2 separate regions of the Mus musculus genome follow, and region 2 is reported to be linked to region 1. Evidence: microRNA targets listed by miRTarBase, many of them from high-throughput screens and not tested one by one. Region 1 holds a microRNA gene; the other region holds the end of a gene's coding sequence.

Evidence for each region. The annotated mature microRNA mmu-miR-208a-5p reads GAGCUUUUGGCCCGGGUUAUAC and lies in region 1 at 2,792-2,813, shown strand. An mRNA with a match to its seed (bases 2 to 7 or 8) in the 3' UTR can be bound and repressed. Matches are read on the target gene's strand: a 7mer-m8 pairs with bases 2 to 8, a 7mer-A1 pairs with bases 2 to 7 and ends in A, and an 8mer does both.
Region 2: the mRNA of H2bc21 is a reported target of mmu-miR-208a-5p. Seed matches in the 3' UTR shown: 8mer at 1,525-1,532.

The regions. Positions count from the first base shown.
Region 1 is chr14:54,947,535-54,951,919 of GRCm38, reverse strand. Mir208a (microRNA 208a) reads left to right here and starts at 2,778; the gene lies at 2,778-2,860. It overlaps Myh6 (myosin, heavy polypeptide 6, cardiac muscle, alpha), which reads left to right. Exons shown (of 39, transcript NM_001164171.1): 26 at 1,267-1,656; 27 at 1,742-1,868; 28 at 1,957-2,075; 29 at 2,386-2,582; 30 at 3,125-3,308; 31 at 3,463-3,628; 32 at 3,715-3,839. It overlaps Gm52092 (a long non-coding RNA gene), which reads right to left and starts at 880. Exons shown (of 3, transcript XR_003950992.1): 1 at 406-880; 2 at 212-323.
Region 2 is chr3:96,220,975-96,225,359 of GRCm38, forward strand. H2bc21 (H2B clustered histone 21) reads left to right here and starts at 98. Exons shown (of 1, transcript NM_178214.4): 1 at 98-2,764. The coding sequence starts at 192. The coding sequence ends at 572.

The sequences.
Region 1 (4,385 bases):
GCATAGGGATGAGGGAAACGCTCACAAATCCGCGTCCCAGGGACTGCCCTGTTCACAATCCTTGAATACTAACCTCAGCCTCTAACACAGGCTGAGGGCCACAGGCATCCCTGCATACAGTTAACTCCTCCTTGTGGAGTAAGTCACCCTGGTTCCTTGGCACTCGCTATTCTCACCTGCACAATGACAGTAAGGCTGTAACTAGGCTTACCAGCACTCATGTGTGGTTTGTTCCCATCTTGGCTCCATCTTCTTTATTTTACCCAGAATACTGAGCCATCCCCTGCATCTTCTGCCATAAGTCTGGGCAAGTTCTTTGGCCTCTAGGAGATAATAATGTCATTATTCTCACTGCGTCTATAGGCCCCTCCCTCTTCTGTGTAGGATCTGTGCTTCAAGTCCTACCTTCTCCACGTTGAGAGCAGAGGTGTAAGTCCCCTCTCTCCTACCTCAGGGTCTACTCTGTAGTTCATTAAAATTGTCCATTGCACCAAAAAAAAAAGAGAGAGAGAGAGAGAATTCCACAAACTTTCCCTATAGAGACAAAAGGCTAAAATGGCAAATGTGCATACTCCAGATTTAGTCAGGACCAAGTCTAAGGCCACACCAATGAGGTAGGGGTATGAAGAAGAGGGCATCTTATTGATACATAGCTTGGCTTGGAAAGGAGCAATCAAGCTACATCCTGGACCTAGGATACCTAAGGAATCCATGACATGGGGAATCTAGGTGATTAGACCTCATGGTTAGCTCAGATAATTGCAGTAGGATTTGGTTGTTCTTGAGGCAGCTTTGCTACAAATGTTAGTTTAAAAAAACAAAAAACAAAAAAAAAACCAAAAAAACAAAAAAACAAACAAAAAAAACCGAGTGCTCATTTCCTTGCCTTATAGTCAGTGGATCAGAGTCAGGTGAAACTGTTGGCTGTCTGAGGTTCATAATCTCAGGAGATCTCAGGATCCCGCTCCAAACACAGATGCTCAACACTTAGGCTGCAGATGCTCAAACTGAATCTCAGATGCTTTAGGGAAATCCTCCAAACTTTGGCTTCGGCCAATTTTCTATTCTAGGGTGTTTAGCAATGTCCCTTGCTTCTATAGCATCCTCCACACAGTTTAAAATGTCTCCAGCCATCACCAGCTATACCTAGTAGCTGAAAACCCGTGCTAGAGGTTTAGTGCGCATGGGAGCCTTTTAGAGCCCTGGAGCACGGGCCTCAAGGGAGGGGTCCAGGAAGCAGGTCTGATCCTTTGTATCCCTGGCTAGGCACGCATCGAGGAGCTGGAGGAGGAGCTGGAGGCAGAGCGCACAGCCCGGGCTAAGGTGGAGAAGCTGCGCTCTGACCTGTCCCGGGAGCTGGAGGAGATCAGTGAGAGGCTGGAGGAGGCAGGCGGGGCCACATCCGTGCAGATAGAGATGAATAAGAAGCGCGAGGCCGAGTTCCAGAAGATGCGGCGGGACCTGGAGGAGGCCACGCTGCAGCACGAGGCCACGGCGGCGGCCCTGCGCAAGAAGCATGCTGACAGCGTGGCGGAGCTGGGCGAGCAGATCGACAACCTCCAGCGGGTGAAGCAGAAGCTGGAGAAAGAGAAGAGCGAGTTCAAGCTGGAGCTGGATGACGTCACCTCCAACATGGAGCAGATCATCAAGGCCAAGGTGGGCCCTCTCAGCAGCTCCCCTCCTCCCTGCCAGTCGTGGCCCTTTCCACATTCACCTTTCCTCTGCTCATTAATGCCTGCAGGCCAACCTGGAGAAAGTGTCCCGGACACTGGAGGACCAGGCCAATGAGTACCGCGTGAAGCTGGAAGAAGCCCAGCGCTCCCTCAATGACTTCACCACACAGCGAGCCAAGCTGCAGACAGAGAACGGTGGGTGCCCCTTACCGTCCCCTAGCCTGCCCCTGGTAGCTTTGGTTTCCCCCTTCCATGGCCCAAGAACCCTTCATTCCACCTGCAGGGGAGTTGGCTAGGCAACTGGAAGAAAAGGAGGCATTGATTTCCCAGCTGACCCGAGGCAAGCTCTCCTACACCCAGCAGATGGAGGACCTCAAGAGGCAACTGGAGGAGGAAGGCAAGGTGAGGCCCATATAATGGCAGTGGGACAGACTCCGTGGCATCACTGGACACACTGTTACCTCCAAGAGTGCACCTGGATGCCAGAGGTAACCTGGTAACCTATCTCCCTACTAAATGGTCAGCCCTCCTGATCATTTAATGACTCCTTATTGGTAAAGGAGAGAGGTAGGCAAATGGAAATCACTCAAAGACATTGAGACTCCACTTCATGTGGGTGAATCTGGGTCTTGACTGAAGTAAATACGCATAAGAATCTAGAGACTGGAGGGTTGGGTTTGCTCCAATCTCCTTGATGCCCACCTCTTCCCAGGCCAAGAACGCCCTGGCCCACGCACTGCAATCATCCCGGCATGACTGTGACCTGCTGAGGGAACAGTATGAAGAAGAAATGGAGGCCAAGGCTGAGCTACAGCGTGTCCTGTCCAAGGCCAACTCAGAGGTGGCCCAGTGGAGGACCAAGTATGAGACGGATGCCATACAGAGGACGGAGGAGCTGGAGGAAGCCAAGTGAGTCCACTGTGGCTGCCCCTGGATTTGCCAAGAGAATGGAGCAGAGCGTCTGCTGTGGAGACAGGCAGAGTAGATGCAGGAAAGAGCTTTGGGGTGGGAGAACAGAGGATGGGGAGACCTGGTGAGCCATGGGAGTGTTTGGTAGAAAGCCTGAGTCCTGCAACCTGTAACGCCTGGCTGGCCCTTGCTTACTTCCTTTGACGGGTGAGCTTTTGGCCCGGGTTATACCTGACACTCACGTATAAGACGAGCAAAAAGCTTGTTGGTCAGAGGAGCTATCATCATGCAGCCTGGGCCTGAGGGAAGCGGGTGGGGGTGCACAGTCACACAGATGTGATGTATGTGTGGGAGAGTCTGAGCAGCCTGTGATGGACGTCTCTGTTCTAGGCTCCAGTAGCCCTCACATCCTCTAGGCTGGGGTTCCAACATCTTAGGGAACTGTGGGGAGAAGCTGGGTCTTTCCCATCAACACTCGGAAGGAGGAGATCATCTCACGTCCTTGTGGCTCCAAGTACAGTCACATACATTCCCCTGGACAGGAAGAAGCTGGCTCAGAGGCTGCAGGATGCAGAGGAGGCAGTGGAGGCCGTCAACGCCAAGTGTTCCTCCCTGGAGAAGACCAAGCACAGGCTGCAGAATGAGATCGAGGACCTGATGGTGGACGTGGAGCGCTCCAATGCCGCCGCCGCAGCCCTGGACAAGAAGCAGAGGAACTTTGACAAGGTAGGCTCACGGTGGGGCTGCAGACACTGTGCATGCTGCTGGTGGGGTCAGTGCCAGCTCAAGGCCACAGCATGTTCCTTGGAGGTGGGGGAGGAGGGCTGAGTCAGGAGAGGGGCCTGGGCAGTTCTGGTCACAGGGCGCTCCTTCCCTGCAGATCCTGGCTGAGTGGAAGCAGAAGTATGAGGAGTCGCAGTCAGAGCTGGAGTCTTCCCAGAAGGAGGCGCGCTCCCTGAGCACAGAGCTCTTCAAGCTCAAGAACGCCTATGAGGAGTCTCTGGAGCACCTGGAGACCTTCAAGCGGGAGAACAAGAACCTCCAGGGTGGGCGAGCTGGGGGACAGGGAAGAGCCTCAGGGAAAGGGAAGTGGGGCAAGGCATATTGATCTTTCTGGTCCTCTGATCCTCAGAGGAGATCTCAGACCTGACTGAACAGCTGGGAGAAGGGGGGAAAAACGTGCACGAGCTGGAGAAGATCCGCAAACAGCTGGAGGTGGAGAAGCTGGAGCTGCAGTCAGCCCTGGAGGAGGCTGAGGTAAGGGCCTAACTAGGCACTCTCCAGCCTGTCCTGCTGTATCCTGTCTTACCGCCTCACAGAAGTCACCCTGACCCCAGGACACAAATCTATTGGCTCCCATTCTTAGTAGACAGTCACCATGGGTATTCTTAGATACCCAGGAACAATGACTTCCCCCAAAGTTGAGTTCCTCACATTGTACAATGCCACAGTCTGGTTTGTAGGACAGAAGGCTTGCTTGCTTCCTGGCTGGAATCGGGCTATCATAATATCAGCTCAAACCACTGGGTAGGAACACAGGCTCCAGGGTCAAATGACCTAGGTTTGAACCCTGTCTTGAGACCCTCTGTGTGCCTTGCTGCCCTCATCTATAAGATGGAATTAATGTATAAACCTCATAGGATTATGTATATGATAATTATGAAGACTGAGTAAAATAACACAGTCAAGCACTTACTAGCCATGCTTGCTGCGCATTTCTAAGAACTTGGGACAGCCCGGGATTAGGGCTATAGACACTTCAACCTTTACTGTGATTTTTTGTTTTTAGTCAGATGGGTCAGG
Region 2 (4,385 bases), not on the chromosome of region 1:
CCCCTGAGAAGTCCAATGAAATCTGAAATTTTAGGCTTGTACTGAAAACGCAAGTTTCGCGTATGGGCCAATGGAAATTAAAAGTACTTTGAGACCTAATTTGCATAAGGCGTTCATAAAGGGCTCAAGTCCTCCGGGTCCCTGGTTGATTTTCTACTTACTAGACTGTTTTCCACTGTTTGCTTTTAATCATGCCTGAACTGGCCAAATCTGCCCCGGCTCCCAAGAAGGGTTCCAAGAAGGCTGTCACCAAGGCGCAAAAGAAAGATGGCAAGAAGCGCAAGCGCAGCCGCAAGGAGAGCTACTCCATCTATGTGTACAAAGTGCTGAAGCAGGTGCACCCGGACACCGGCATCTCGTCCAAGGCCATGGGCATCATGAACTCGTTTGTCAATGACATCTTTGAGCGCATAGCAAACGAGGCTTCTCGCCTGGCGCATTACAACAAGCGGTCTACAATCACATCGCGGGAGATCCAGACGTCGGTGCGCCTTCTACTGCCCGGAGAACTGGCCAAGCACGCCGTGTCGGAGGGCACCAAGGCCGTCACCAAGTACACCAGCGCCAAGTAGAGGCCTCCCTGGATGAGGCGCTCGCTGGCCCCTTTGATCTTTTAAAGTCTCTTTTAGTGAGTCACCCGCTCAAATCAGAAGAGAGCTTTGCCACTTGCATTAGTTTCTAGTTCCTATTCCAAAGTTACTCCAAGGGTCTTGAAAAGGGTACACTTCAGAAGTTTTAAGCCTTTGTGGTTTTGAGTTCCCCTGTGGGTATCTGTTTGCAGTTTGCTGCACCCTACTTAGCTTCTTGGAGTTCTTTTTAGACTAGGATAATGGAGGTGGGTCTCTGGGCCCGGTTTCCGTGTTCTAGGCTTTTGGGGTACCATTTACTTGTCGACTTAAAGTGAGATGGTTTCCTTACCCTGGCGAATAGAGGGCTCCAGGACACAGCTAAGACTGTGTCGGCGAATGCTGGGTACCAGCCATCTACAACTGAAACCGCTCTGTCCCTTTACTTGTGTCCTGGGCACCAGCGGTTACGGGGTACTTAGGGTGGTGTCCCTCTAATTTACTGATTTACAAACACGAATGTTCCACGTTGCTGCCGATTTGGTAGAAGTCGGTTATGGTTCTCTATCAGGCTTTAAAATCCCTGTTCGAGGCTTGCTTGGTTTGTTTTGTTCTGTTTTTGTTTTTCCTTTTAATTCTTTGCTTTAACCTCTGCAGTGCCAGATTACCGCAGGCTACTGCTGCTTCTCTGGGCTCATGAAGCGATCTTTCGAATCCACACACGCAGGAATTAGCTTTTTCCCTCCTGTCGTGTCTCCAGGAGAAGTTGTCTCAAGTTCCCTTTGCTTTCTTATTTACACTGTTGCTGATCAAGCTGGGTCTGACAGTTTTATACCTCCAGAGCCCACCAGTGCCTCAACCACAGCAGATGCTACTTTTAAAATTACTTATTGAATTCATTTTTATACCACTGCTTTTTTTAAAATATATTTTTATTAGGTATTTTCATTTACATTTCAAAAGCTATCCCAAAGTCCCCCTTACCCTCCCCACAACACTCCCCTACCCACCCATTCTTGGCCCTGGTGTTCCCTTGTACTGAGGCATATAAAGTTTGCAAGACCAAGGGGCCTATATCACTGCTTTTTAAAATTACTTATTGAATTAATTTTTATATTAAGGCGGGGGTGGCAGAGGCCTTGTCCATTTGATGTATGTGAAGACACGTTGGAAAGGAAATGTTTTGGGGATTTTTTTCCCAAATTTGTCTTTAGTTATCGTTACTGTGGTAGCTGTTCTTGGTTCTTAGCCCAAGCAGCTGGGTGCACCTGTGAGGGATTTATTTTTTCTTAGTTCCATAATTTGAAATGAGAAGAACCATTTTTAATCTGGTTCTTTCCCACCTTTAATCTGGGCCACGCCAGCTGGCAGCTTCTATTAAGGACATGGAAGAAGGAAGCTTGTTCTTTGCCTGCTTGCTGGAGATGGCAAGTCTGTTCCTGAACTGGCATTAGAGCCCTACTTACTTGGGATTCTGCCATACACTGAAGACCGGCTGAGACACCCAGCCTTGTGGACTGAACAACTACTGGATTATTGGACCTTCCGTTGGGTGACAGCCATTGAACCCCAGCCATTGAACTCCAGTAAGCCATGTGTTTGTGTTCGAGTGTGTGTGTGTGTTTACTAGGGACTGGCCGTAATAGTTCCCTTAATTTTGACAATTTAGAGGAAGCTCTTGGGTTTGTATTAAATGGAGCATTGGCCTTTGGGAGAGAGACATTTTACTGCCACCATCCCCATTCTTAATTTTTCTATCCTCTACTAAGATGAACTTCCAATTTACAATTGTCCCAATCATTTACATTTCAGAGGGTCTACAGGATAGGTAGGTTATGGAGCGAATAGTGAAGGTAGTAGAAGCTAAATAGGGAGGTCCGTAGGCCAACCCCTGCACCAATACCATCCACTCTTGTCTCCTACCTGAAGACAACGGCCTTGGTTTTCTTTTGTGGGGAGTGTAGCATACTGAGTTTTTCCTTTGAAGTCTTGATTTTGTTGGTGAAGATTCTTGATGGTCTGATTGCTTTCTCAATTCTGCTTTGTGGTAAGGGTTATTGGAGCTGATTGCAGGAGCTTTGTGGATCCAAAAGAGAGTTCCAAACATTGTCATAGATCGAATAAATCCATTCACTGCATGTGCATTTTCAAGTGGGTAGACACTGTTATTATTATTAATAAAGTTACCGATTAGTTTCAAATCTTTGCTGTATTGTTTTCTGTGCAATTAATTTTCTCAAAAAAAAAATAAAATGAGTAGATATAGCCATTTGTGGTTGGGCTTGTGGAAAAGCTGGGTGCCTTTGATTTGAAGGATTTATAAGCCATTAGTCAGAGCTTAGGGGTGTAGCTCGGAAGGTTTGGCCAGAACGCCCTGAGGCCTTAGGTTCAACCCCCAGTACATTAAAGCACACACCTGCTTCTAGCTGGGCATTACTTCAGAGGTGCATTGGGGTTAGAATATCTACGGCATGGCCATTGTTAATGCCTCGAGATTGAGAAATAATGACCACAAATAAAAAGTATTACAAACAAGAGAGCGTGAAATAGAATCCCTGGTAGTTTAGCCAACACCTGTGCTAGGGAGTGTTCTAAGCCCTCTCAAAATATTGGCTCATTTGATCTTCACTGGGAACTTTATGGAGTAAGTCCCATTATCATCTCCCGTTTTATAGCTAAGGGAACAGGCATGACACTGCTTTTCCTCATAAACTGTTTAGAGAGTTTAGTTTTCTCAAGTCCCCAGTTTAGTTTTACAGGACTTGAGATGGTAGGATTGCTCCCCGAAAACCTTGACCCCGCCTCTCATTTGGGTAGAAGGGGTTGAAGTATCCACACGTTACCCTCTCTGCTTTAGAGATGCACCCTGCATGGAGATCCAGAAGGTGGTGGCTAACCTTGGGAATGGAATTGGGGAGTCTGACTTTCCATCCCAGAGGCCACAGCTCCAGCCAGAGGGAGGGGTTGTGGGGGGAAGTATTTCACCAGCTCAGAACCTCTCACCAGCACAAGAGGCTTGGAGGCTTATTTGGGGCTTCTCTTGTGTTTGTATGATGGTCTTGTGGCAGACACAGGTAAAGAGAGTATTAATAGAATCTGGTGTTTTTACCCTAGAGGAGAAATTATCAATACAGTGAGATCTCACAATACACCTCTCTCCCATTTATTTCCTTTCCTTAGGTTAAAACAATTGCTATAAAAATAATTGCCCTAGTCCTCTCCTGTACTTTCTCCTTTTCTTTTTGAATGTACCCCAATTTTAGGCAATGATAATTCCACAGAGAAGCACAGTAAGTCCCCCCAACCCCCAGTTGAACTTATTGACCATCTGACTATGCCCGTCCTCTGCTTAGTGGTTTCCATTGTTGCAGTCTACTCTCCACAGCTACCCTTTAGGTTATGTTTCATTGTTGTCTTTATGTTACAAATGGTGGAAACAGCCTTGGAGAGCTTAAACGGTTTGTCTGGGATCATCTATCAAGTGGTAGAGTTGCAATCCAACACACGCCTTTTGGTTATTTTGAGACAAAGTCTTGATATGTAGCTCAGACTGGCATCAATCCTGCAGGGACCCCCACTCCTTCCAGGCCACCCAAGTGCTGGACTCCAGAAGGCAGCCACCACCTCTGACTCTAGCATAATCAGAGATTATGCTAGAGTTCACTTGTGGCACACATATCAGAATCTTTTTCTATCTACAATATAATTGTAAACCCTGTTGCCCTAGTCTTTCCCGCAACTCCTGTACTTTCTCTTGCTTTCCCCAATTTTTTGATTATACCCCCAACTTTGGGCCATGATGATCCCACAGAGAAGCAC